Linked DNA regions of Macaca mulatta. The protein of the gene in region 2 interacts with the protein of the main gene of each other region in a pairwise test. Links are inferred from orthologs where the notes say so. Each region holds a gene or a part of one and is shown on either strand. Other genes may lie near its edges. The genes, in order: CEP63, FAM161A, CCDC136, CADPS, NUTM1, ZBTB8A and VPS52.

Region 1 (4,138 bases), on a different chromosome or scaffold from region 2:
CAGGCTTGTCTCGAAACTCCTGACCCCGTGATCTGCCCGCCTCGGCTTCCCAAAGTGCTGGGATTACAGGCATGAGCCACCGCGCCCAGCCTAGGAACTGAATTTTTAATTTTATTTCACTTTAATTACCCACAGCTGGCTGGTGGCTACAATACTGGACAGTGCAATTCTACATCTAACTACTGGTTTAGAGCAGTGGTCCCCAGCCTTTTTGGCACCAGGGACCTGTTTCACGGAAGAAAATTTTTCAACACGGACAGGGTGGAAATAAAAAATTTTGTAAATATCTTTTTGTTAACATTCATATGAAATGTTTTGGGGGAGGAATGGCCAAACCACTTTTTATTTATTTATTTATTTTCTTTTTTTTGAGATCCAGTCTCACACTGTAGCCTGGTCTGGAGAGCAACGGTGTGATCTCAGCTCACTGCAACCTTCGCCTCCCGGATTCACGTGATTCTCCTGCCTCAGCCTCCCGAGTAGCTGGAATTACAGGCGCACACCACCACACCCGGCTAACTTTTTTGCATTTTTAGTAGAGACGGTGTTTCACTATGTTGGCCAGACTGGTCTCGAACTCCTGACCTCGTGATCCGCCCACGTCAGCCTCCCAAAGTGCTGGGATTACAGGCGTGAGCCACCGCACCCGGCCAACCACTTCTTCAGTAATATGAATAATACACATGGCAAGGGTTAGGGGCATGGTTTCATGATGAAACTGTTCCACCTCAGATCATGAGTCATTAGTCAGATTCTCATAAGCATGCAACCTAGATCCCTTGCATGCGCAGTTCACATTAGGGTTCATGCTCCTAGGAGAATCTAACCCCACAGCTGATCTGACAGGAGGCAGAGCTCAGTTGGTAGGTAATGCTCACTCGCCTGTCACTCACCTCCTGCTCTGTAACCTGGTTCCTAACAGGCCACGGACTGGTAGTGCTCTGCAGCCCCGGGTTTGGGGGCCCCTGGTTTAGAAGCCATAAAGGCAACAGAGATACCTGTTAAAGGATACTGTGCAATGTAATCTGCTAAATTTAGAACTGTAAGGAAAAATAGGGGCTAATCCCATAGCTATAGCTATGAGGGAACTGCTATAGATTAAAAGATGTCAAATATGCATCACCCAAACACAACAGGCAGATCCCTGTGGGATTTTGGTTCAAACAAGCTAACTGCAAAAAAGACATTTAAGAGAGAGTTGAAGAAATCGTAATCTGACTGGACATTGACATTAGAGAATTTTTATTAATTTGTGTATGTGTAATGACAGTAGTGTGGCTTTGCAAAACTGAAAAACCTAGCTCCTGACGGGGGCGGGCAGGGGACTAAAATAACATAAAGATCGGAAATTCAGTTCCTGAAACCTTGTGTCAATGTTGGCTTTAGCTGAATTCCAAATCAAGTTGACATTTTTTGAAAGCAGGAAGCAATGACAGAGTGGACTACTGATGCTGTCACCATCTGCCAGCACAACGTAAATTAGAACAGAAAGGACTAAGCAAAGGCATTCCACCTTTTAAAGAGAGAAAATGGCATCAGTACAATCAACATATACAATTTTTACAAACAACTTTTAGAGTTGCATCTACATACATTTTAAAAGGCAGTGTGCCTGTTTATAAATCTCTACCCCATTTTAGTTTCAGAGCCTTTTTTACTACCCTGATCACTGATCATGCCACAGTCAAAAGGCAATCTCAAAAATTAATCTAAAAATAGTACTGCATTCCAAATAAGAAAATATATATACTTTGTTTTACTATTAAGCTACAGCTAACAGAAATCTAATCAACGATCCTTATGATTTTCTCTTACCTAAAAAATAAACGCAAGCACGTGAGGAACTGTATAAATACAGAGCATCTACCCTACAATACTGCTTTATAAAAGAATAAATTCTTTTAATAAGTTTAACCGGACATAAAGCTCAGGGAAAACTACTTTGTGCATATTAGTGTACGGTGCTTAAACTATACAAGATGACTAGTCTCTGACATCATACACATCTTTACTCTCCTGATGTCGTATACGACATAAAAAAAACCACATTATAAGCCTAAATGTACTGTCTTCAAGTATCTCCATGATTAAAGTGTTCCTAAGAAACCGTCCTTGTTTCTTTCTATCCCTGATCTGTGTGCATGGAGCAGTTAGTTCAGGGTTCTCCAATTTCAGTCCACGATTTCTGCCATATTTCCGTACCTGCTGTACTAAACATAACCGTTTACACCAACTCACTATTTTAAAAGCTGCCAACCTTAACATGCCACCCTAAATGAGCGGGTCCCCTTGTGCCGTGAATGAAGTAGTCCTAACAGCGCTAGCTAAACAGCAGCCCTGGCCGGGAGGCCGCACAGGGGTCCCTCCGCTGAAAAGAAAGGTGGGTCCGCCGGGAAAGGTGAGTACTGGGCGCAGCTCGCCCGCCCACCTGGCTACTCTCCGAAGCGCCCCCAGCCACCCGGCCTCCGAGGAAACGCTGTGACCACCTGGCGGGGCCGAACCGCGCGCCGGGCTGCGCCATGCCGGACTACGCCGGTGTGCAGGGCATAGCGGGCCAGGCCGAGGGACGGGGCTCCGGGGCGGACGCGAGCCGGCGGGGAGGCGCCTGGTGGTTCGCAGACTGTTGCGCGAACCGGCCGCAAGCCATGAGGCCGCGAAGCCAGAGTCACCAAGGCAGCCTGGGCCGCCTCCGGACCAGGACGCGCTCGCCCCTTGCGCTTCCGTCTTGCGCACGGGCGGTTACACGGCTGCAGCAAGCGCATCCCTCAGCCTTCCCGCCGTTACCTCGGGCGTGCACTGCGCACGCGCGCCACCACTAAGCTTACGTCCAGCCTCAGCAGTCGGAGCGTTCGTTCCGCCCACTGCCCCCACACTTTTAATAATTGAATCAATGTCTTCTCCAGACTTCCCCTGCACGCGAGCAAATGGACTCACCCACATCCGGGAATCCGAGAAAGAGCGTGCAGACACGTGATGCGGGGCGTGGCAGGAGGAAGCGTCTGCCGCGCTGGGCCGCGTAACGGTAAGGGTTTGCAGCGCCCCCGGCCTAGGTTTTGGAGGCGCGGGAATGCGTTCGTGGCTCAGTGTCGGACTTCCCCCTATTTCCATCGGCCGAGGCTGTCACTTTACGCTCATAACCGTTTTCTTTACTGCACGCTGTGTCGGGAGGAAAGGGACTTGCTTGGCACCCCAGACCTCCCCGTCTCCGCTTCCACGTTTGGTACATCCTGCGTCAGGCCGGAAGCCGCGGCTGAGGGGCGGCCTCTCGTACAGTGTGGTGGCCTGCGAGGCTCATTTCTAGCAAGGAACAATATTTTCCCGCTTTGACCTTACAGATACATGTTTACAAAGCTATAATGTATAGAAATGGATAAGACATGTCCCTGTCCCGGGAAACGCAGGCACTGCGTGTCTGGAAAGACATACATCTGGGCTGTTTGACAGGCTACCTAGTTGGTGCCATGCTCTGTGCTTAGGGAACTATGAGATCCCCGGTGGGTACTGGGACCGCGCTCAGCCTGAGGTTTGGAGGCGGCCTCCTACAGGAAGCGACTTGAGACCTGAGATTTTTAGACTGACTATGGGTTCGCTGGAATAAAAAGGAAGAAACAAACAGCATTGCAGGCATCGGGACTGTCACGTGTAAGAAAAGTTTGTTCAGGAAACAGTGGTCGTATTGTGTGACGAGTATTTGGGACGGTGGCTGTGCCTTGGGCATTGATTAGATTATCTTGTTGCTTTCCATCCTTCCAGCCCCTTAAGAGTGAAGGCACCTTCACGCCTAACCCCGGAAATGGGATGTTGACCTCCAAGAGCTGACGCCTGCGTTGATCTTGAAAGGAAGAGTGGCATTAGTGATGTGGAAAGGGGGGTTTTAACTGTCAAGGCTGGAAAATGTGACAGGGTTTGAGGTGTTTGGAGAAGGGACAGGTGAAAAAGATTGAGGCCAAATTGTAGAAAGATCTACTAAGGAATCCTGGGTACAAAATGTACACATAACAGTTGGAGACAATAATACCTGAGCAATTGATCACAAAGCTTGTTTAGTAGATTTAAGTTAGGACAAGAAGCAAGAGTTCAAGGATAGAAGGCCTACTGAAGCTCGAGTGATCTGAGAAAACCTTACTAAAAGGTGGAA
Region 2 (4,114 bases):
ACTCTTCCTGCCTTTTTAATGCCTCTTCCCCAAGCCCTGTGCGCCTGGCTATCAGACCCACTGTGGCAGCTTACCCAGCTTTACTTTTAGATCCCTCATGTGTGGTGGTCTCAGAACAGTATCAGATTCTTAAGACTTGGATTCCTTCTGTTTTTTGTAGGATCCTGTCCTTTCCATACTAGATTATTGTATAAACTGATCCCTCCTAAGGTAATAACAGTTTCTAATACAAATTTGCAGTTGCCGGGCGCGGTGGCTCAAGCCTGTAATCCCAGCACTTTGGGAGGCCGAGACGGGCGGATCACGAGGTCAGGAGATCGAGACCATCCTGGCTAACACCGTGAAACCCCGTCTCTACTAAAAATACAAAAAACTAGCCGGGCGAGGCGGCGGGCGCCTGTAGTCCCAGCTACTCCGGAGGCTGAGGCAGGAGAATGGCGTAAACCCGGGAGGCGGAGCTTGCAGTGAGCTGAGATCCGGCCACTGCACTCCAGCCCGGGCTACAGAGCAAGACTCCGTCTCAAAAAAAAAAAAAAAAAAAAAAAAAAACAAATTTGTAGTTTAACAGGGCACTTTGGAAGCATATCTGCAACTTAGAAGTGACTGACTCCTTTCCCACAGCAAGCCAAAGTAGTTTAATCTTTGGGAAGGCACACAAATGACACTCCCACTGGCATCTCGTTTATATAGATTACTCTTTTATATAGATTGCTCTTTAGAGGAGACACACATTCTTTCATTTGGTTCTCATAGAGCTGAGATGGGAAAAAGAGACAATTATTATAGTTATTTTACAGATGAGGAAACCGAGATTTAAAGAAAGTGTGTCCTAACACCACCTAGGGAGTGGCAGGGAATGGATCCTAATATGTAACTCTTAAATAGTTTTTCTCCATCACGCTGCCTTGTTGCCTACTGAAAATTGTGTTGAGGGGTAGGTTATAATGAACAAAATCAGTCCTAGCACTCTGATCCTGGTTCACATTCAGGGTCTCAGTCTACCTTACTCTGGATAACTTCAAGTTGTTTACTGGAGAAAGATTGGTCACAAAAGGTGTTGCTAAAGATGCTTTCATTAACAATTTTATGGTAGATTAAAGAGATTAGAATTCCAAAATATCCAGGGATTTCAACTAGTCCTCAATCATAAGTTTTGTGTTTGAGAAGCTTTGGACACATGGTATTAAGAAACTTTTTCTGGCCGGGCGCGGTGGCTCAAGCCTGTAATCCCAGCACTTTGGGAGGCCGAGACGGGCGGATCACGAGGTCGGGAGATCGAGACCATCCTGGCTAACATGGTGAAACCCCGTCTCTACTAAAAAATACAAAAAACTAGCCGGGCGAGGTGGCGGGCGCCTGTAGTCCCAGCTACTCGGGAGGCTGAGGCAGGAGAATGGCGTAAACCCGGGAGGCGGAGCTTGCAGTGAGCTGAGATCCGGCCACTGCACTCCAGCCTGGGCGGCAGAGCGAGACTCCGTCTCAAAAAAAAAAAAAAAAGAAACTTTTTCTATCTGCAGATTGCTAGTTTAAATTCAAGATTCCTTTTTTTTTTTTTTTTTTTTTGAGACTGGGTCTGAGATCTCAGCTCACTGCAACCCTCGCCTCCCAAATTCAAGCGATTCTCCTGCCTCAGTCTTGCGAGTAACTGGGATTACAGGCGCGCATCACCATGCCCGGCTAAATTTTGTATTTTTAGTAAAAACGGGGTTTCACCATGTTGGTCAGGCTGGTCTCGAACTCCCGACCTCGTAATCTGCCTGCCTCGGCATCCCAAAGTGCTGGGATTACAGGCACGAGCCACCGCGCCCAGCCAAGATTCCCATCTTTTAAGTGAATAGAGCAGATGGCAGACCCTGCCCTCCACCTGCTAGACTGGTGTCCACAACAGATTTAACACTGAAAACTGATCAGTGAAAAGGCTGTCTCGCTGTACCCTAAAGAGCCGTTTAGGAAACACTGAAACCTCAGTGATTTGCTTATCTGTATCCGTGTCTGATTTAGCCAGTGAACACGTGATGGTTTTAAACACGCCTCTCTCCAGCATTATGTTGAGATCCACTTATAACCAAGTTCTTAAGGTAATAACGAAACACACCTGACAGAACAGTTTTCCTCAAATTATAAAATCTATCTATCTATCCATCCATTCCCGAGATGCTAGAGAGTAAAGAGTAAAATTCTATACTTTGCACTCGCCAGAAACAGAGTAACATAAATGTTGTCTAGGAAACTTTTACAACAGACTCTCTGGTGAAAATTAAAACACTTTTCAACGCCTCGATTTAGAGTATTTTTCGTGAGCGTAGAGAAGGGGCTGGGCCAGGACCACCAAGTAGGGAGTATGTGCACAGGGTCCCGCGTTTACCAGCCTGCCCTCAGCTGGGCGGGGACCCGGACAGCCCTCAGCCAGCACCCAGCCCGTGCGAGGTCCCAACCCACGTCCCGCCCCAGTATTACCGACGCCTCAGCGGACTGCGCCACTTTCTCCTCCTCTTCGTCCTCCAAGATCGCCTCTGCTGCCGCCAGGGCCTGTAAGGGGTCTTCGCGTTCGTACTGGGCGACCCGCGCTCTAGTGATGGGATTTACAGGAGTCTGGAGACTGGAGGCCACCAGCTTTGCCGCTCGGTGGGAGGCGGCCATCGCCCCGCCTCCGGGACCTGAGCGCCTGCGCTGGCCCGGGGCGGGAAAGCTGGTGCGGTCCCTGGCGACCCGGGGGCTCCTAGCTAGGGAGCCGGTTGCTATGGGCGCCGTAACTGGGGACACTACAGGAGCCGCCAGGGACCAAAAGTCACAAAAACTCCTCTCAGGCTGCCAGAGACCCGAGTCGGGTGCTTACTGGATCATGGCGGTCAGTACCGAGTCTGTTTGCTGGTTCCGAAGGTTGGCAGGCTGAACAGGGCACTTTTCCTCTCCTTTGCGTTTAACCGCCTGAACGCAGACTTCTCACATTATACAATGAAACAACTGCTTTTGTGAAGAAAAGAGCGCTTTTTTATTAACTGCAATAATATGTTAGAAGGAGACGGTTGATGGAGGAGACGGCGGCGGAGGAGGAAAGCAGGGCGTATTACTGGGTGGCGGCCTCTGAAGAGTGGCAAGGTTGGCGTCGCGCTACCTAACATGTCTCCCGCGGGAGCCAGCGTGGGAAGGAGGGAGGTGCATTCTACTCTGATTTACTTGAGGGCTAGTAGGAATCCACCAATCAGAAGGAGGCTCCCAGTTGTCCCTCTAGCGTTTTTCTTGGCCTGACCAATAAAAGCCCAGAGTTGGGTGGTGCCTGACCCTCCCACTAATGAGTGAGGGTGCAGGTAGTGTAAACCTGGCGTTTGCTTTGGGTTCATCAGCTTGAGAGTGACAGGATTGAACGGCGCGAGTGCCCAAGAGTCATCACAGACACACCCATCTCCCTCATCCGTATCTTCTCTTTCCACTCGGGATTTGGACGCATCAAATGGCGCCTTCCCTCTGCACCACGTGGTCGTAAGAGAAGCCAAACCTCAAAATAGCGGACGTGGTGCAGTCTCAGGCATCTGCTCCATAAGCCCCTGCTTACTGAGGCCGAGGCTGCCGCTCCCTATCTACTCCCTCCCTATCTACCCCTCTCTATCCTTTGCCCTCCTCCCGCTCCCCAGCCCTAGGACAGGCCCCCTCCGGTCAGTATTTTCCTCGTTATGCGTTGCACATCGTCGAGAATCCATCTCTAAGGTCTGAGCCCTTACCAAACCTTTGTTCTCCTGTATGGGTGTGAGCGCCAGCAAAGTCTCCCACGTCCCCACTTCCTTCAGGCTGCTCTTTGTTTTGGCTAAACAGTTCCTTCCAGTGCTGGAACAGATGCTGGCTGGGTTCTAAGCAGAAGCCAGAGCTAGAACCATGGGATATGGACCGCCAGGTATGGCCAAGTGTCCAGGGGAGCAATTTCCAGTCAGTCACGGCAGCCAGTTTTGTGGCTACAAAACTGCCTCAGCCTCCGGAGTGGCTGGGATTACAGGCGCCCTCCCGGGAGGCGGAGATTGCAGGTAGCCCGGATCTTGCCTCTGCATTCCAGCCTGGGCAATAAAGCAAGACTCCGTCTCAAAAACAACAACAAAAAAGTATTGATAAGGAATTAGAGCAC
Region 3 (3,500 bases), on a different chromosome or scaffold from region 2:
GAGGGCAGCCTCGGTCTCTCCCGCAGGGCCGTGAGGGATCTCACCCTAGAAAGCACTCTACTGAGGACTGGGCGTGGTGGCTCACGCCTGTAATCCCAGTACTTTGGGAAGCCGAGGCGGGGCGGATCACGAGGTCAGAAGTTCAAGACCAGCCTGGCCAAGATGGTGAAACCCCATTTCTACTAAAAATACGAAAAATTAGCCAGGCCTCCTGAACCCAGGAGGCGGAAGTTGCAGTGAGCCAAGATCTCACCACTGCACCCCAGCCTGGGTGACAGAGCAAGACTCCATCTCAAAAGAAACGAAACATCCTACGGAGGAGGGAAGCGCTGTAGAACCCTATTTTCCCAGGTAGTTCCTGCTACATCTGTGCTTCAATCCTGACTTTTCGCCAGTTCGAATGGAGGAATGTCCCTTCTCCAGGCAAAGGCCTTTTTTTGTACTGGATCTTTTCTTTCATTATACATGATCTAGCATTTCCTACCTTTGAAAAAAGAAAAGAAGTAATCTTTCGACCCTATTTCCCTTACTTCTCTGCTTCTCTTCAAAATGACTACTGGAGTTACCGGTACTCACCTTTTCCATTTCATCTCCCATGTCCTCTCTAAACCTAATCCAATCGGTGCCTCCATGCACTGAGATGTCTCTGGGTCCTCCCTCTTGCCAAATCCAAGACCATCTCACTTGACTTAGCAACCTGACACAGTGGATCATTGTCTCCTTGAAGCACTTTCTGCTCTGGCTTCCAGGGCATGACATGCTCCAGGAGTTCCTCTCACTTTACTCTTTTGTTCATTTGTCTTCCTATATTGGACCTCTAAATACTGGAGTGTCTCTGGGACTGGACCCTTTCTCCTCTTCTGGTGTCTCTCCATGTGACTGCACCATTACTTCCCATGGATTCGAATGCCAATTATATGCTAATGACTCCAAATTTACATCTCCGGCCCTGTTTTCTCCCTGGTTCCGCCTTTATATATCCAACTGCCTCAATATATTCACTTGGATGTCCACAGTTACTTCAAACTCAACAGTAGAAAACATGTCTTAAATGGCTCCCCTACCCCCAAAACTTACCCCTTGCCAAGTCTTTCCCAATTCAATAAACATCACCACCTTCCATCAATTTTCTCAAGGCAAAGTCATCTTTGATGTCTCTGTTGTCCCCTGATCCAATTCATTAGCATATCCCGAGGGCTTCACCTTCAAAATATATTCTGAATCATCTCCATTTCTACAGCCCTAACTCAAGCAACCATCATCTCTTGACTGGACTATTGCAGTAACTTGCTGACAGGACTCACTGTTCTGAGTCCCTTCCCTCCATCCTAAGTGTTTCCACTTAGTGGCCAAGTTCTCTTTTAAAAATGTAAAGCAGATCGTATCATCCCAGTCCTGGCTAAGACCCTCTCCTGGCTTTCCACCACACTTACATGAAAGCCAAGCCTCTTGGCTGGCCTATAAGATCCATTGTAATCTGGCCTCTGCCTGCCTCAGAACATTCTCTTACCAGGGTCCTCCACATGCACTTTGCTGCAAACACAGTGGCCTCTATTCTATCGCTCAAACAAATGAAGCTCATTCTCACCTCTGGGCCTCTGCAGTTGCTGTTGCTTCTGCCTGGTACGCTCCTCCCTCAGATCTTGGATGGCTGGATCCTTTTCATTATTCAGGTCTTAGCTCAAATGTCAACTTCTCAAAGATGACTTTCCTAACTGCCATATCTAAAATAAACTCCCTTCAAGACCAGCCTGGCCAACATGGTGAAACTCCATCTCTACTGAAAATACAATAATTAGCCAGGTGTGGTGGCACATGCCTGTAATCTCAGCTACTCGGGAGGCTGAGGCACGAGAATCGCTTGAACCCGGGAGGCGGAGGTTGAAGTGAGCCGAGATTGTGCCATTGTACTCCAGCCTGGGCAACAGAGTGAGACTATGTCTCAAAATAAAATAAAATAAACTCCCATCCCATCTCCTCTCTATATCATATTATTATGTCGTGTTCATAGCATTTATTGCCACCTGAACTTGTGTTGTTTATTTTCTGCCTCTCTCCATTAGAATGTACTCTTCATTAGGGCAGGGATGTGGTCTGTCTCATTTATAGCTGGTCCTCCAAGTATAAAGGCACCTCATAAGTAGGTGATAAATAAATTAGTCCCATTTTACAGATAAGAAATGACATCTCAGAAAGATAAGTGACTTGCCCAAGATCACACAATTTGTAAGTGGTAGAGCTGGGCCCAGGAATCTAGGTCATCCCAGACCAGTGCCCACACTCTTCCCTGTGTGACACGTTTCCTGCCACTTTCCTCCTCTGCAAGCCCCTTCATTGACCACCCTTCCTGTATCTACCTTTGCTTACATTTTCTGTCCCCGTCTCCTTTCCTCCCCCTCTCACACCTCTGCTTGCTACTGTCCAGGCCTGCTTCCCGGCCTTCCTTTTTTTTCTCCATTTATACTTTTCTTTTGGCTTGATCTCAGTTCTCCCCAGAGTCCCTGCCGTTTTCTAGGGCAGCTCCCCTAAACCTTCCGGAAGCCCACAAAAGTAACAAAAGCTGCCTCTTTATTTGGTGGTGCGGTGGAATGTGGGACACCTGCCTTGCTGCTTTCCAGAGACAAAGGGACGTGGGTGTTGGCAAAAAGGGATTTAGGGGCCACAAGCTCAGGTCCCAGGCAGCAAGAGAAGTGCTCTCATCTGCCTCCCTTAACAGGTGCAGAGAGGCCCCGCCAGTCACGTCTCATTGGCTTCATGCTTTCCCATGCTGTCCTTGGAGGAACCAAAAAAGGAATCTGGCTTGGAATTCAACTTGGATCACCCACCCCTGGCACTGACCAGGAGAACAAAGGGACAGGGATGCAGTATGAAGGAGGAGGCTGAAGGGGCAAGAGGAAAGAGCCCACCAGAGACAGGAGGTGACAAGGAGGTCAAGAAATGGAAGGAGAGGACAGAAGAGCCAGGTGGAGGTTTAAAGAAAGAAAACTGGGGACAGAGGAGGATGGAGAGACAAGGAGCGGAAAAGCGTGAGACTAGTAGAGGAAAATGAGGTGAAATTACTGAATTTGGTTATTTTTATCTGCTATGCTTCAGTCAAACCCTCAGGAAAAAAGTACTTAGGTGACCACTTGGATGGCCACCTCCCTCCGGTCCAAGCCCTGGGAACTACCTTGGAGCTGCTGAATTTGCTTGGTGAACACCTCTGCCTGCTGGGCGCTGGCTAGCCGTTCATCCTCCAGGAGCCCTGCAGGGAGAGGGGCACCAGTGTCAAGCTCGGATCCAGGGGAGTGCAGAGCCTCTGGGCCCGGGCACTGGGCCCTGGCCCAGCCACTTACCCTGTAGCTCCAGGGAGTCGTCCTCATGCTGCCCTGCCAGTTCCCGGGTCTCCTCCAGTTCTGCCACCAGCTGCAGCACCTGAGCCCGCAGCTCCTCCAGCTCTGTCTCCGTGAGGCTCAGTCCCCGGTGCTTGTTGACTGACAGAGAGCCAACACTGCCACCTT
Region 4 (3,987 bases), on a different chromosome or scaffold from region 2:
AAAAATAGAACCAGCATGCCCCTCAAAACCACAGCTTTGCGTGGATTCAGGTAAAACATACAATCAGATCAGAAAAATCTGGCCTCATAATGATCTCTAAGGTGGCTGAAGGTTCTGTTTAGAAGAATGTGTCTCTGTGGGATTTCTTTCTCCATGCTAGCTCTGGACTTAAGCATCTATTTAAAGGACAGCGCTCTAGAGACTTTGATAAATGTGTCTAGACACCCCCACCCCCCACCCCTTTCAACCTAACACTTAAAGTCACAGTTTTCATTGTCAAAGGAATGGGATATTTTTGGCTGGTGCTGTTATTACTGGGATAGATTTTGGAAGCTGAAGTTCCCATGCTATAAAGACACAATTACAACAGGAATTCCAAACTGAAATGTGAAACATTAGGCCCCGTGAACTCAACATCCAACCTTAAAATAATGTCCCAAAAACTTTTACTGCTCTGAGGATACTTTTGCTCTACTGCAGTCCAAAATACGAACTGAAAAAACAAGGGGCCACAGATAGAGATGGAGAGCCGTGTGTGTAACCCACCTCCTGTCTCTCACCCTGGAAATGAGTTTTATCTTTTAATGAAACGATATCCAAGCTCATGATGGCTGAAATAAATTATCAGTGCTGGGTGGTGTGTGTACACATGTAAGCAAAACAAACAGAAATCTGTGCTAACTCAAGGTAAGGGTGGAGAAATGTGGAAAACCTAATGCTACTACAGCAACATGTTATTTGGTCATAAATGGCAGCAACCGAAAAATTCACTATTTTAAGACACTAGTCTCACAATCTTAATGGGATTACGACTGGCCTCTCACACTGCCTCTCTGACTGGCTTTTCTGATAGCTCAAGTGCTGCAAATTTATTTAAGAGAGAGAATAGAACGCTGACTTTCTTCACTAACTCACTTCAACGGGGTGCCTGACTGCTTCTCTTCTGCCGCCACCCTCCGCCACTGCCCCTCATTTTTCAGTACCCCTCATCCCTTCCTCCAGCTAAAGAACAGCTGATAGAAGTAGGCGCCTTAAAAAAAAAAAAAAAAAAAAAAAATCAAAGGCAGCCCAGAGCTGCTTCAGCCTTGCCCCAACCTCAGACAGAAAAAGCTTTTGATGCCTCTGATTGCGAGGCTTTTTGCAGCTGTACTTTATCAAGGCAGCAGTGGCAGGGTTTGGAGGACCCAGGCGAGCCAGAAGGTGGCGGCGAAGTCACCTTGAGAAGAGGAGAAGAGGGTCAAAGAGAGGAAGGCGGAGGGGCTGACCCGGACGGAAGGACCAGAAGGCGTGCCCCTGCACTGGGGTCAGTGAGGAAGGGTCAGGGGGACTGGAGAGAACTCCAGCCATAAGGAAGCAGTGCCCCAGGACCCTTTGGCGACGCTAGTCGGTGATCGGCTGACCCGGGCAGGGAGAGGAGAGTGCCCTTCGCAGAGTCACGGGAAGCTTCGCCTTCCGGGCTTGCTTTCTCCCGCCTGCCCCTGCGCTTGCTCTCCGCCCCAGCGAGCGGAGCGCTGCTCCAAGACGCTCTTCTCCCTCCACCTCGGCGCCCCCGCCTGCCGTTTCCCCCGCCCGCCGATCGCACGCCCAGGAGGGCGGGCCCGGAGTTGAGCGCAGCCGCCCGCCGCTGGAGAGCGCTGGGAGCCCTGCAAGCGAGCAAGGCCTCTCTGGGCGCCGCGGGCTGCAAGTCACTCCCCCAGCCTTTCGGGCCACAAAGCGGGACCTGCCTGCCTCGCTCTCCCCAACGCTCCCGGGCTGGGGAGCTCGGGCACGCGGCGCTGCGCTCCGCGGCCCTAGCCGGTCCCAGGCAGCTCCAGGAGCGCTCCAGGCTGGGTTGGGCCGGGCCTCGGCGAGCCCGGCCGCTGGGAAGGGGCCTCGTAGCCCTTTCCCCAGGGCGCGGTCTCCACCTTTCCTGCTCCTCCTCGCCAGCTGCGCCTCCAGCTCCCATTGTTCGCCCCGCCCGCCTGGCGACGTCCGGGTGCTGCTCCCTGGGCCTCCCAGGCGCACCTACCTTCTGCTGCCGGCGAGCCATGTCGGTGGGCTGCTTGGCATTAAAGGGGTAGGCGATGCAGCGCATCACGAACACATACAGCTGCAGCCTCTTCTTCCTCTCCTCCTCCTCTTTCTGCAGCCGCTCCAACTCTTCCTTCTCCTTCTCGCTCACCACCGACGGGCTGGGGCTGGAGGGCCGGCCGCCGCCAGCGCGGCTGCTGGGTTGCAGCCCCCCGGCCCCGCCGCCGCTGCTCGCGCCGCTGCCCCCGCCGCCGCCTGCGCCCACCCCGGCTCCGGCGCCGGCGCCGGCGCCCCCTAGCCCGGCGCTGGCGGCGGAGCCCTCGCTGGTACGGCTGGGAGACAGGCGCGCGCCGGACGCGGCCGAGCCGAGCACCTCCTTGCCGCTTTCCTCCTCCACGATCTCATCCGATTCTTCTTCGCTGGACGAAGGGTCCAGCATAGTGGCGCCTGGGGAGCGGGGTCTCTGGAGCCCCCGGTTTGGAGTGCAAAAGGTGGGGGGCGCTGGAGGCAGCCGGGGATCAGATCTCCCGGGTGGGCGCTTCTCCCCAGGTCAGGGAGCGAGAGGGCTGCTGCTCAGCCTCGGCCGCCGCGACTGATCCTCTGCCCGGCGGTCGCGAGCTGGGCTCAGACCCAGGAGCGCAAAGGGAGGAGGGGAAGGGAGAGGTGCGTCCGTGGACTCGAGGTGGGCAAGTGGGAGAATCAATTGCAAGCCCTGAGCCCGCAGCCGGATGCCATCTGCGGCCGCTGAAGGAGGCGCCTCCAGAAAAGATGCCGAGTGTTGCAAGCTGTCGATGCAGCCAAGAGCCGAAGAGGCATCTTGCCGATTGGGGAGGGAGCGGCGCTTACGTGTTTATTGGCTTAACTCTCCCGTGTCCGCGGCGTAAAGGGCTGGTGCAGAGGGCTGGAGCGGGGAGAGCGCGGAACGTCCTCAGAGCCTCAGTACTTCTGACCCCAATACCTTGCCACCCTCCTCCCCTGCCCGCTTCGTGGATATTTTTTTTCTTGATCTCTGGCTCTCATTGCCTCAACCCCATTTCCCCTCCCGCGGACAAAAAGTTCTTGGGGGAGGGAGAAATCCGGAAACCAGCCGAGCGGGCTGTTTGGAGACGCTAAATCGAGAGGTCTTACTTAGGAGGAGGAAGTCCGTGAGATCTTATGCGGGAAAGAAAGGGTCCATCTCCTTTCCCCAGGCTTCTTTACACCTGGGGCGTGGGGGGAGGGGGGCTGGGCAGCGTATTTGTCCCACCTGTGAAAACTCTGATTCCAGCGACTTATTCCGCATGCGCCCAGTCTAAACTATAAGTTAATCAAATTTTGAATGGATTGGTGTTTCGACCGGGCAACTCAACCATTTGTGTAGCGCCCCCGCCCTTGCCTACTCCCCACCCCCAAAATCTAGGATGAATCTTCTTCAGTTCCTAAGACCTGGGAATGCTTTCTGCTGAGGTGAGCCTACTAGAGAAATAGAAGGGTTTCTGGTTGCTTAACCCTCTCTCCATTCTGACTCGGTGGAGGCTTGGGGACCCTGCGATCAGACAAAGACACCCTAAGAACTCAGCGGCGTCAACATCTAATGCGTCGACTGTCGCACTCTCTTCACCCCTGCCTCTTGGGTAAACTATTAATACAAAGCAGCAGATGGTGCCTGCCTTCCCCCTGCTCCTTTCACTTAGGCCAATAAACCCAGTAAACGAGGGAGCTGGCCAGCGTGCTGAATGTAACCTGCGACCCGCAGATGGATGAAAACAAACCACCAGCCACCTTCAGAACTTAGGCTATCTAGAGACCTCCCCACTTCATCGCCTATATTTATGTATTTTCTAGTTCCCTGATTATCTGTGGACACTCGTGGGAGTGACTTTAATAGTGTAGAATGAGTTTAAAGTTTAAATCACGTTTGTCTTTACGTATTTTATAATTTACCATGAGTTTCACAGTAAGCTTTGAGAGTAAACTGACCTGTTTGAGACCTGCAGA
Region 5 (3,500 bases), on a different chromosome or scaffold from region 2:
TCTTGGTGAGAGCAGTTAGTTTACTTGACCAACATCAATACCTAGTTCAGGGCAAAAGGAACCTGAGAACCCAGCCTCCTATGGGGTGGTCTGCTTGGAATATCAAATGCCACTCTCCAGAGGGAAAGCAGCAGAGCCTGGGCCATGCCTTCTCTAATCTGTGACTGGCTTCTGTACACCTCCCTTTGAGCCTTTGGCCCTCGGCTCCTGTCAAAATTGGGTAGCCTCACCTGGCTGCTGGCAAACCTCAGAGGCCAGGGGCCCTAGAGGATCAAGTTTCAAAGGGGCTGCAGGAGACAGGCCCAGAGAGCCATTCATCAGCTGTGAGTTCTGAATCTGCATCTCCTCAGCCTCAAACTCCATGAACCTGCAGAGGGTGAGAAAGGCATAGGCAATGCTAAGAAGGAGACCAGACCCGTCAGAAATCCAGACGACAGTCAAGCATGGCTAAGAAAGGAAGTGCTCTCAGGCGGGCAAAGTCTGCCTAAGTCATGTCACAGGTGGCTTAACCATATTTCCAGGGAAACCTCGGGAGCTCAGCACATAGTTCCTTCCCCTGTAGTCATCACTTAGGAAGCTTAAGAAAATGAATGGCCAGGTGGGGTGGCTCATGCCTATAAACCCAACACTTTGGGAGGCTGAGGTGGGCAGATTGCTTGAGCTCAAGAGTTTGAGACCAACCTGGGTAACACGGCAAAAACCCATCTCTACAAAAGATACAAAAAAATTAGCCAGGAGTGGTGACGTGCGTCTAGTCACAGCTATTGTGGGGCTGAGATGGGAGGATTGCTTGAGCTCAGGAGGTGAAGGCTGCAGTGAGCCCTGACAGTGCCAGTGCACTCCAGGATGGGCAACAGAGTGGGATCCTGCCTCAAAAAAATTTTTAAAAAGTAAAGTATGAGGACGGGTGCAATGGCTCATGCCTGTAATTCCAGCACTTTGGGAGGCCAAAGTGGGTGGATCATGAGGTCAGGAGTTCGAGACCAGCCTGGCCAACATAGTGAAACCCTGTCTCTACTAAAAATACACAAAATTAGCCTGATGTGGTGGTGGGCACCTGTAATCCCAACTACTCAGGAGGCCTAGGCAGGAGAATCACTTGAACCCAGGAGGCAGAGGTTGCAGTGAGCCGAGATTGCACCATTGTACTCCAGCCCTGGCAACAGTGTTAGACTTTGTCTCAAAAAAAAAAAAAAAAAATAAGAAGAAGAATGATCTAGAGCTTGTAAACTTCTCTTGGACAGAGCCAGGGCTTTCACTACTTTTTATTTATTTATTTATTTTGAGATGGAGTCTCACTCTGTTGCCCAGAATGGAGTGCAGTGGCGCAATCTTGGCTCACTGCAACCTCTGCCTCCCGGGTTCAAGTGATTCTCCTGCCTCAGTCTCCCGAGTAGCTGGGACTACAGGTGCATGCCACCATGCCTGTTTTTTGTTTTTTTTTTGGTTTTTTTTTTTTGTATTTTTAGTAGCTAAGGGGTTTCACTGTGTTAGCCAGGATGGTCTCGATCTCCTGACCTCATGATCCGCCTGCCTCGCCCTACCAAAGTGCTGGGATTACAGGTGTGAGCCAACGTGCCTGGCCTCACTTCTTTTCCATACCTATCTCACCCAGCTTCATGGATTGTACACAGCAGTGCTTAATATACGCTTGTTTAATTTAATCAGGCCTATGCAACAGCCTGGTGGGATCTCACAGTGGGATCCTCCTCGAGACCTCATTTGCCCCTGCCTACAACCATAAAGAATTCAAGGCAGTTCCTGCCAGGAGACAAGGCTGAGATCCCAGAGTCCTGAGACTGGGATGGGGGTTCTTGGAAAGGTAAGTCTAGGAAGCACGGGTCCAAAAGGTTTTGGGAGGGAGCAAGTGAAAGCTAAGCCTGGAAAAATGCGTTCATTTTTCTGAGTTTTTTCTTTCTTTCTCTCCTTTCCTTCCTTCCATCCTTCCTTCCTTCCTTCCTTCTCTCTCTCTCTCTCTCTCTTTCTTTCTTGACTGAGTTTCGCTCTTGTTGCCGAGGCTGGAGTGCAATGCACAATCTCGGCTCATCACAACCTCCACTTTCTGGGTTCAAGCGAGTCTCCTGCCTCAGCCTCCTGAGTAGCTAGGATTACAGGCATGCGCCACCACACCTGGCTAATTTTGTATTTTTAGTAGAGACGGGGTTTCTCCATGTTAGTCAGGCTGGTCTCGAACTCCCGACCTCAGGTCATCCACCCACCTCGGCCTCCCAAAGTGCTGGGATTACAGGCATGAGCTACCATGCCTGGCCTTTTTTTTTCTTTTTCTTTCTTTTTTTTTTTGAATCAAAGATATTACAGAGAAATAGAATAAGAGCCAGGAGACAACTTTGGGCATCCCGGACACTGGCTTTCCCTGGCTCTTCCAGAACCAGCCCCTCCCTGGGATAAAGGGGGAAAGGGATTTTCTGTGCCACTGTTTCCAATGGAGGAGCGGTCCTGAAGTTCTGTATCAATAGCCACTTGCTACCAAGTCAGTGGGAAGAAACAAGAACCTGCCTGGTAGAGCATACCTCTTCATTACTAGGTCCTTTCAGCATGAAATTGCTATACCCATTGGGGTCCAATCCCATCCTAAGATCTACAGTATCAAGGCTCCTATACAGATTCAGGATCTGGTGACGGGGGAGCTTTCAAGAGGAAATACGATAGAAAAACCCAAGAGTCAAGGTGGTGGAGGAAGAAGCAAGGATCCAGGAAACCACCATCCTAGTCTACACCCCCCTCCCCACCCTGTTTTTCTTTCCTTTCTTTCTCTCTCTCTCTTTTTTTTTTTTTTTTTTGAGATGAGGTCTTGCTATGTTGTCCAGGCTGGTCTTGAACTACTGGACCCAAACCATCCTCCCACCTTAGCCTCTCAAGTAGCTGGGACTACAAGCACACACCCAGCCTAACATCTTTTTTTTTTTTTTTGAAATGGAGTCTTGCTCTATCGTCCATGCTGGACTGCAGTGGCGTAATCTTGGCTCACAGCAACCTCCACCTCCCAGGTTCAAGCGATTCTCCTGCCTCAGCCTCCCGAGTAGCTGGGATTACAGGTACGTGCCACCATGCCCAGCTAATTTTTGTATTTTTTTTTTTCCAGTAGAGACGGGGTTTCACCATGTTGGCCAGGCTGTTCTCGAACTCCTGACCTCAGGTGATCCACCCGCCTCAGCCTCCAAAAGTGGTGGGATTACAGGCGCGCGCCACCGTGCCCCGCCCTAACATAGCTTTTGATAATTGCCCCCACCTGAGCCTCTCAGCTGCCCCTACTGCTCTCAGCCCACAGCCTCCCTCAGGAGAATGAAAGTTCATCGAACTCACCTTTCCGCCATCTCATAAAAGATCATCCGGTCAAAGTTGCTGGTGTGCTCCCACTCCTGCACGGCCAATGGCAGTCCCTCCTCCAGGGTCATAGTGGGCTTCCGCCGGGCCAGGGAACGAAGCACTGGGCTAAAACCCCCACTGAGTCAGTCACATTCTGAAAGTGTGCTCCCATC
Region 6 (3,500 bases), on a different chromosome or scaffold from region 2:
CAAATCGTGTACTTTCAGTGTTTACTGATTAATATGTCAACAGTTATGCACAGGATAATAACTGTACTAGTGGTAGTTACATACGCTTTCCTACATATTTTACCAGGCTATATTAGCTTTCTTGGATTTTTTTTTTTTGAGATGGAGTCTCACTCTGTCATCTAAGCTGGAGTGTAGTGGCGCGATCTCAGCTTACTGCAACCTCCGCCTCCCAGGCTCAAGTGATTCTCCTTCCTCAGCCTCCTGCATAGCTGGGATTACAGACGTGTGCCACCATGCCCAGCTAATTTTTGTATTTTTTTTTTGGTAAAAATGGAGTTTTACCATGTTAGCCAGGCTGGTCTCAAACTCCTGACCTGAAGTGATCCAACCACCTTGGCCTCCCAAAGTGCTGGAATTACAGGTGTGGACCACCGTGTCCAGCTTCTTGGGTATTTTTACTGTGTTTGGTGGCCTACTTCTACACTGTCCTGACTTTATTTATTTATTTATTTATTTATTTATTTTTGAGATGGAGTCTTGCTCTGTTGCCCAGGCTGGAGCACAGTGGTGCAATCTTAGCTCACTGCAAGTTCCACCTCCCGGGTTCACGCCATTCTCCTGCCTCAGCCTCCTGAGTAGCTGGTACTACAGGCACCCGCCACCAGGCCTGGCTAATTTTTTTTTTTTTTTTTGATTTTTAGTAGAGACGGGGTTTCACCGTGTTAGCCAGGATGGTCTCGATCTCTTGACCTCAAGCGACCCGCCCGCCTCGGCCTCCCAAAGTGCTGCGATTACAGGCGTGAGCCACCGTGCCCGGCCTATACAATTAATTTTTATAATTTTTAGATTAGAACCCATAATCTACTGTTCTGACAGCTGTTGAACAAAGTTGTTTATTACTAATTATAATACCTAATTATTCCTCAACTACAGCTGTTTACCAAGGCATTTTACACGTTAACTCATTTGGTCCTCATGTTAGCCCTGTGAGTGGTATTCCCATTAGCCACAGGAAGCAAGCAAAGATAATACTACGCTGATACGTAGAACCAGCACCATAGTAGTTGTTTATGACGAGTGTCCAGTAGAATTAGTCAGGTTTCTCATCTGTCTGGGTGGTGCCCATATCTTACCAGTTAAATATTTTAACTGTCACCCTAAAGCAAGTTTATATAATGTTTTAAATTACTTGCTCCAAGATACATGGTTAGTAAGTGACGAAGATAGTAAATGACTAGAACCCCAAGCCTTCCAATCCCTGTGTGGTCCTCTCTCCAGCAGATCTTTTATTAATAAAAATGGCAAGTACTCCTTCTATCTAAAATATTGATACATTTAAATTTTTACAATATTTATCTTTCTCTAGTAAAATAACAAAAAATTAATACACAAAACAAGAGAGATTCCACCCCCACCACCACCTCAAATTAAGATATGTTCAGACTGGACAACATAGCAAGACCCTTTCTCTAAAAAATTTTTTTTTTTTTTTTTTTTTTTTTTTTTTGTTGAGACAGAGTCTCGCTTTGTCACCCAGACTGGAGTGCAGTGGCCGGATCTCAGCTCACTGCAGGCTCCACCTCCCGGGTTCACGCCATTCTCCTGCCTCAGCCTCACGAGTAGCTGGGACTATAGACGCCTGCCACCTCGCCCGGCTAGGTTTTTGTATTTTTTAGTAGAGACTGGGTTTCACCATGTTAGCCAAGATGGTCTCGATCTCCTGACCTCGTGATCCGCCCGTCTCGGCCTCCCAAAGTGCTGGGATTACAGGCTTGAGCCACAGCGCCCGGCCAATTTCTTTTAATTAGCCAGGTGTGGTGGCATGCATCTGTAATCCCAGCTCCTTGGTAGGTTGGGATGGGAGGATTGCTTGAGCCTGGGAGGTTGAGGCTGCAGTGAGCTATGGTCACCACAACACCCTAGCCTGGGTGACAGAGGGAGACCCTATCTTAAAAATAAAAAGTATGCTGGACACAGTGGCTCACGCCTGTAATCCCAGCACTGTGGGCATCCGAGGCAGATGGATGACAAGGTCAGGAGTTCAAGACCAGCCTGACCAACATGACCTATCTCTACTAAAAATACAAAAATTAGCTGGGCATGGTGGCGTGTGCCTGTAATACCAGCTACTCAGGAGGCAGAAGTAAGAGAATTGCTTGAGCCCGGGAGGCGGAAGTTGTAGCAAGCTGACATTGCGCTATTGCACTCCAGCCTGGGCGACAGAGTAAGATGCTGTCTCAAAAATAAATAAATAAATAAATAATAAAAATAAATAAGTGCATGGTGCATGTAAGTGTTTGCAATTATTATTATCATAGGAAGTATCCTGTTGTTACCTCAGATACCCAAATGCTATTGGATTAAGGGATAAGTGAAATTATTATGTAATATTAATAATAAAAAACATGATAGCCACTATTTAGAGAAAGCTGATGTTTTTCTGTGACATCAATTTGCCACTAAAACCCTTGATCTTTTTCTAATAATAGATGTTAATTTGAGTTTAATGCATGGCTTTGAACATCTTAAGTTTATGAACTGGTACCTAAAATATCAAACTGTCCTGCTTTTGAAAAATCACTTTTATCACTATTTAAATCTCTACACAGATTCACCAGGCATGTAAACTCATCTGCAGAAAATGTAAACGTCATGTGACAGATCTAACAGGGCAAGTGGTACAGGAGGGAACCAGGCGCTACAGACTGTGTAATGAGTGTCTTGCAGAATTTGGCATAGACAGCCTCCCCATTGACTTGGAAGCTGAACAACATCTTATGTCCCCATCAGATGGAGATAAGGATTCCAGATGGCACTTGAGTGAAGATGAGAATAGATCCTATGTGGAGATTGTAGAAGATGGGTCTGCTGATCTGGTCATCCAACAGGTTGATGATAGTGAAGAAGAAGAAGAAAAAGAAATTAAGCCCAACATTAGGTAGCTGTAATGTGAACCAACAGAGCTGGCATGTCTGCAATTTACATTGACTTCCTGTATCTCTCTCTTTCTGTGGTCAGAGTCTAGTTAACAAATTTATCATACTGACTTTAAAGAAATGATCTGATATAACTTGCATGCTTTCTGAACAGGCCATTGTATCTATTCTGAACTTTGTTGCCCTAAAATGTGTTGCTGCACTGGAAAGAAAGAACTAGCTTGAGTTGGCATGATGGATGAACAATTATCCTCTTACTTTCATTACAATCCTCTTTATTACAGAGATACCCTTTTTCTTTTAATATTGGAAGATCTACTTAGCAAACTTTTTTCAAAGAAAATACTTTAAATAAATTCACCACATCCAAACTTTATGTAAGACAATTTCAAGGTGTTTCAAAAACACATATACAACCAATGTTTAATTTCACAGGAAACCAGTTAAGAGCACATTTAAAGATCTGGCAACCCACCTGACTAGACAAATTAGTCTTTGTATTAATTTGAGATCTGAAACAATCTGTCATTACTCTGATATCCTGAACGTTTAAGGATTATGGAAGAAGACTAAAATGTTTGA
Region 7 (3,500 bases), on a different chromosome or scaffold from region 2:
CTGTAATCCCAGCTACTTGGGACGCTGAGGCAGGAAAATTGCTTGAACCTAGGAGGCGGAGGTTGCGGTGAGCCAAGATCGCACCATCGCACTCCAGCCTGGGCAACAAGAGCTAAACTCCGTGTCAAAAAAAAAAAAAAAAAAGCTTCTGCACACACAGCGAAAGAAATAACAAAGTGAAGAGACAACGAATATTTGCAAACTACCCATCTGCCAAGGGATTCATAACCAGCATATATAAGGGGCTCAAACAACACTACATGACAAAGTCTAATAATCCTATTAAAAAATGGGCAAAAGATTTGAATAGACATTTTTCAAAAGAATACAAATGGCAAACAGGCATATATGAAAAGGGGCTCACCATCACTATCATCAAAGAAATGCAAATTAAAACTACAGTGAGATCTCATCTCACTCTAGTCAGAATGGCTTTTATCCGAAAGACAGGCAATAACAATGCTGGCAAGGATGTGGAGAAAAGGGAACCCTTATACACTGTTGGTGGGAATGTAAATTAGTACAAACACTTTGGAGAACAGTTTGAAGGTTGCTCAGAAAACTAAAAGTAGAGCTACCATACGATCCAGCAATCCCACTGCTGGATATATACCCAAAAGAAAGGACATCAATACATTGAAGAGGTATCTGCACTCCCATGTTTGTTGCAGTATTGTTCACAATAGCTAAGATTTGGAAGCAACCTAAGTGTCCATCAGCAGATGAATGGGTAAAGAAAACGTGGGACATGTACACAATGGAGCACTATTCAGCCATAAAGAATAATGAGACTCAGTCATTTGCAACAACATGCATAGAATTGGAGATCATTATATTAAGTGAAGTAAGCCAGGCACAGAAAGACAAATGTCATGTGTTCTCACTTATTTGTGGGATCTAAAAATCAAAACAATTGAACTCATGTACTCATGTACGAAGAGAGTAGGATGGCTACCAGAGGCTGGGAAGGCTAGTGGAAGGCTGGGGATGATTAATGGGTACAAACAAAAATAGGAAGAATGAATAAGACCTACTATTTGACAGCACAACAGGGTGACTATAGTCAATTATAACTTAATTGTACATTTTAAAATAACTTAGAGTGTAACTGGATTGTTTATAACACAAAGGATAAGTGCTTGAGGGGATGGATAAAGAAAAAAATAAAATTCATTCTAAAAATAGAAAATTAGCTAGGCGTGGTGGCTCATGCCTGTGGTCCCAGCTACCCAGGGGCTAAGGTGGGAGGATCGCTTAAGCCCAGGCTGTCGAGGCTGCAGTAAGCCATGTTCATGCCACTGCACTCCAGCCTGGGTGACACAGCGAGACTCTGCCTCAAAAAAGGAAAAAAAAAAAAAAAAAGCAAAACCAAAGACAAAATAAAATAAAGTAGACCAATAATGACAGTATGTTGTGGATCAAGAGTTACAGTAATTCCATGTACCTGAGGTCCATTATGCCACTCCCTACACACACACACACACACACAAACACACAGGAGCTGAAAACAGCACACAAAGCTGTCCCTTCCCTTTTCCCCACACCCCTACCTGTGTCCGAGCATTGAGCAGCTGCTGGAAGCTCTCAACCTCTTTGCTGTCATCTGCAGCCCGCTCCTAAGGGAAGACAAAGGGAAATGTCAAGTTTGGGGAAAGCAGTCCTTCACTTCAGGATGTCCCCTTCATTCCACACTTATTGTACTAAGCTGGACACTGTGCCAGACTCCAAGAGTAAAACGCTGAACAAGACAGGCATCGTCTCTGCCCTCACAGAGCTAACAAAGCAGTGGGGGAAACCAAATTTTCTGGGTAGGAAGACAAGGAGAAGGAGCACCTATTACCATCAGCACACCCAGCATCATGTCATAGTTGTTGATCAGAAACACAAGCTGCTCCTTCCTTGAGGAGAACTCGGCTGCCACTCGAAGGACAAAATTCTCCACCTCCACCTGAAAAGGCAGAGAGGAAGAGGTGACACCAGAAAGCAAGGCCATCAGGCCCTCCTCTGGCTCCCCCTCGGCCTCCACCCACTGGCACAGCCCTGCTGCTGGTAAGTCTCTCCTGTCTGACCCTTACCTGCAGCTGTCCCAGCAACTGCATGGTCCGTTCATTGGGAATTGTCTGGTTGATGCTGACAAGAGCGGAGGAGAACTCTGCGTAGCGGCGTGTGATCTAGGACAGGGTGGGAAGGAAAATCACACCCACCTCCTGGCCCAACCACCACCACCTCCCAACTCCCTTGGTCAACCCGCCACCATGTGATGTGACTCTACCTCCAGTCCCTCCTACCCACAGTGCACCACTCACCATGAGTTTTATCACCCTCCCAGAATGCCTGCTCATAGCGTGGCCCATGACACAACTGTGACCGTGGCCAACCCCACAATGATGCTTAGAGCCCTGCCTTTCAAGAACCCTTTGTTACCCTTGCCCTCCCTCACATAGTGGGGCCGAGTATCCAACCCCCCTAGGCGCTGGGGGTCAGTGCTTCGGACGCTCTGGACATTCATCTCCAGGATCAGCTCAAACCGTGGCCATAGCAAGGCAAGCACCTGTTCCCAGTACCTGTGGGCTTAATCAGAATATGAGGTCAGCCGGCAAGGAATGTTGGAGAGGGATGGGGGGGAGTGGGGCACCATTCAGTTTAATGGTCAACAGTTAGTTGTGGGGATGGGGGGGCAGTGGTTGGAGAAAGGTGAGTCAAAAAGCAGCAGTACTGCCTCTGGAGCAAATCAATGGGAATAAAGGTTAATGATACCAGGTCAGTAGAAGTCTAAGGTCAGGGCAGAGTCATGCAAGACCAAGAGTTTGTGGCCTGTTGGGCATCAAGGACCAGAATTCAGTGACCTGTCCAGAGCAGGAACATCCCTCTTTGCTGCAATGTTACGGAACCGGAGAACAATGTGGATACAAAGAAAAACAGCAATGGCATCGTAGCAGTCAGCGAGATAGGACTCCAGGTGTTTCTATGTGATTGGGGAACAAGCAGAGGATTAAAAGAGAATGTCAGTTTGTTTTCCTCAGTGACTATGAACAAACGCATGTGTTTCTTTGGGGATGATGCACTGGATAGGACAGAAGGGAGAGATGTAAAATGCAACTGCCCCCTGCTTTCCTGTCCACTGCCACCCGGGTGGTCCTACTGCCTTACCCACCAGGATCTATGTTTTTGGCTTTTTTTGTTGTTGTTTTTTTGAGATGGAGTTTCGCTCTTGTCGCCCTTGTCGCCTAAGCTGGAATGCAGTGGCGCAATCGCAGCTCACTGCAACCTCCGCCTGCCTCCCAGGTTCAAGCGATTCTCCTGCCTTAGACTCCTGAGTAGCTGGAATTACAGGCGCCTGCCACCACGCCTGACTAATTTTTGTATTTTTAGTAAAGATGGGGTTTCACCATGTTGGCCAAGCTGGTCTCGAACTCCTGACCTCAGGTGATCCGCCCACCTCAGCCTCCTAAAGTGCTGGGATTACAGGTGTGAGCCACTGCGCCCGGCGTTTTTGACTT

What was found.
Region 1: the proteins of FAM161A (region 2) and CEP63 interact in binary tests that used the Homo sapiens proteins (3 or more experiments, as listed by UniProt). The two-hybrid records come from large-scale screens. The link is inferred for Macaca mulatta from reciprocal best matches to the Homo sapiens genes FAM161A and CEP63.
Region 3: the proteins of FAM161A (region 2) and CCDC136 interact in binary tests that used the Homo sapiens proteins (3 or more experiments, as listed by UniProt). The two-hybrid records come from large-scale screens. The link is inferred for Macaca mulatta from reciprocal best matches to the Homo sapiens genes FAM161A and CCDC136.
Region 4: the proteins of FAM161A (region 2) and CADPS interact in a two-hybrid assay, tested with the Homo sapiens proteins (2 studies listed by BioGRID). The two-hybrid records come from large-scale screens. The link is inferred for Macaca mulatta from reciprocal best matches to the Homo sapiens genes FAM161A and CADPS.
Region 5: the proteins of FAM161A (region 2) and NUTM1 interact in binary tests that used the Homo sapiens proteins (3 or more experiments, as listed by UniProt). The two-hybrid records come from large-scale screens. The link is inferred for Macaca mulatta from reciprocal best matches to the Homo sapiens genes FAM161A and NUTM1.
Region 6: the proteins of FAM161A (region 2) and ZBTB8A interact in binary tests that used the Homo sapiens proteins (3 or more experiments, as listed by UniProt). The two-hybrid records come from large-scale screens. The link is inferred for Macaca mulatta from reciprocal best matches to the Homo sapiens genes FAM161A and ZBTB8A.
Region 7: the proteins of FAM161A (region 2) and VPS52 interact in binary tests that used the Homo sapiens proteins (3 or more experiments, as listed by UniProt). The link is inferred for Macaca mulatta from reciprocal best matches to the Homo sapiens genes FAM161A and VPS52.

The regions. Positions count from the first base shown.
Region 1 is NC_133407.1:37,528,379-37,532,516, reverse strand, and holds the start of CEP63 (centrosomal protein of 63 kDa), read right to left. Parts: upstream 2,801-4,138; 5' UTR 2,763-2,800; coding exon 2,487-2,762; coding exon of another isoform or gene 2,429-2,486; intron 1-2,428. UniProt on the Homo sapiens protein: Required for normal spindle assembly.
Region 2 is NC_133418.1:62,881,968-62,886,081, reverse strand, and holds the start of FAM161A (protein FAM161A), read right to left. Parts: upstream 2,801-4,114; 5' UTR 2,641-2,800; coding exon 2,458-2,640; intron 1-2,457. UniProt on the Homo sapiens protein: Involved in ciliogenesis.
Region 3 is NC_133408.1:168,429,235-168,432,734, reverse strand, and holds part of CCDC136 (coiled-coil domain-containing protein 136), read right to left. Parts: coding exon 3,336-3,500; intron 3,245-3,335; coding exon 3,170-3,244; intron 1-3,169. UniProt on the Homo sapiens protein: May play a role in acrosome formation in spermatogenesis and in fertilization.
Region 4 is NC_133407.1:126,458,317-126,462,303, forward strand, and holds the start of CADPS (calcium-dependent secretion activator 1), read right to left. Parts: upstream 2,801-3,987; 5' UTR 2,450-2,800; coding exon 2,009-2,449; intron 1-2,008.
Region 5 is NC_133412.1:11,547,552-11,551,051, reverse strand, and holds part of NUTM1 (NUT family member 1), read right to left. Parts: intron 3,454-3,500; coding exon 3,325-3,453; intron 368-3,324; coding exon 231-367; intron 1-230. UniProt on the Homo sapiens protein: Plays a role in the regulation of proliferation. Regulates TERT expression by modulating SP1 binding to TERT promoter binding sites.
Region 6 is NC_133406.1:208,271,620-208,275,119, reverse strand, and holds part of ZBTB8A (zinc finger and BTB domain-containing protein 8A), read left to right. Parts: intron 1-2,591; coding exon 2,592-2,924; 3' UTR 2,925-3,500. UniProt on the Homo sapiens protein: May be involved in transcriptional regulation.
Region 7 is NC_133409.1:149,024,222-149,027,721, reverse strand, and holds part of VPS52 (vacuolar protein sorting-associated protein 52 homolog), read right to left. Parts: intron 2,966-3,500; coding exon 2,847-2,965; intron 2,565-2,846; coding exon 2,441-2,564; intron 2,172-2,440; coding exon 2,076-2,171; intron 1,949-2,075; coding exon 1,841-1,948; intron 1,617-1,840; coding exon 1,551-1,616; intron 1-1,550. UniProt on the Homo sapiens protein: Acts as a component of the GARP complex that is involved in retrograde transport from early and late endosomes to the trans-Golgi network (TGN).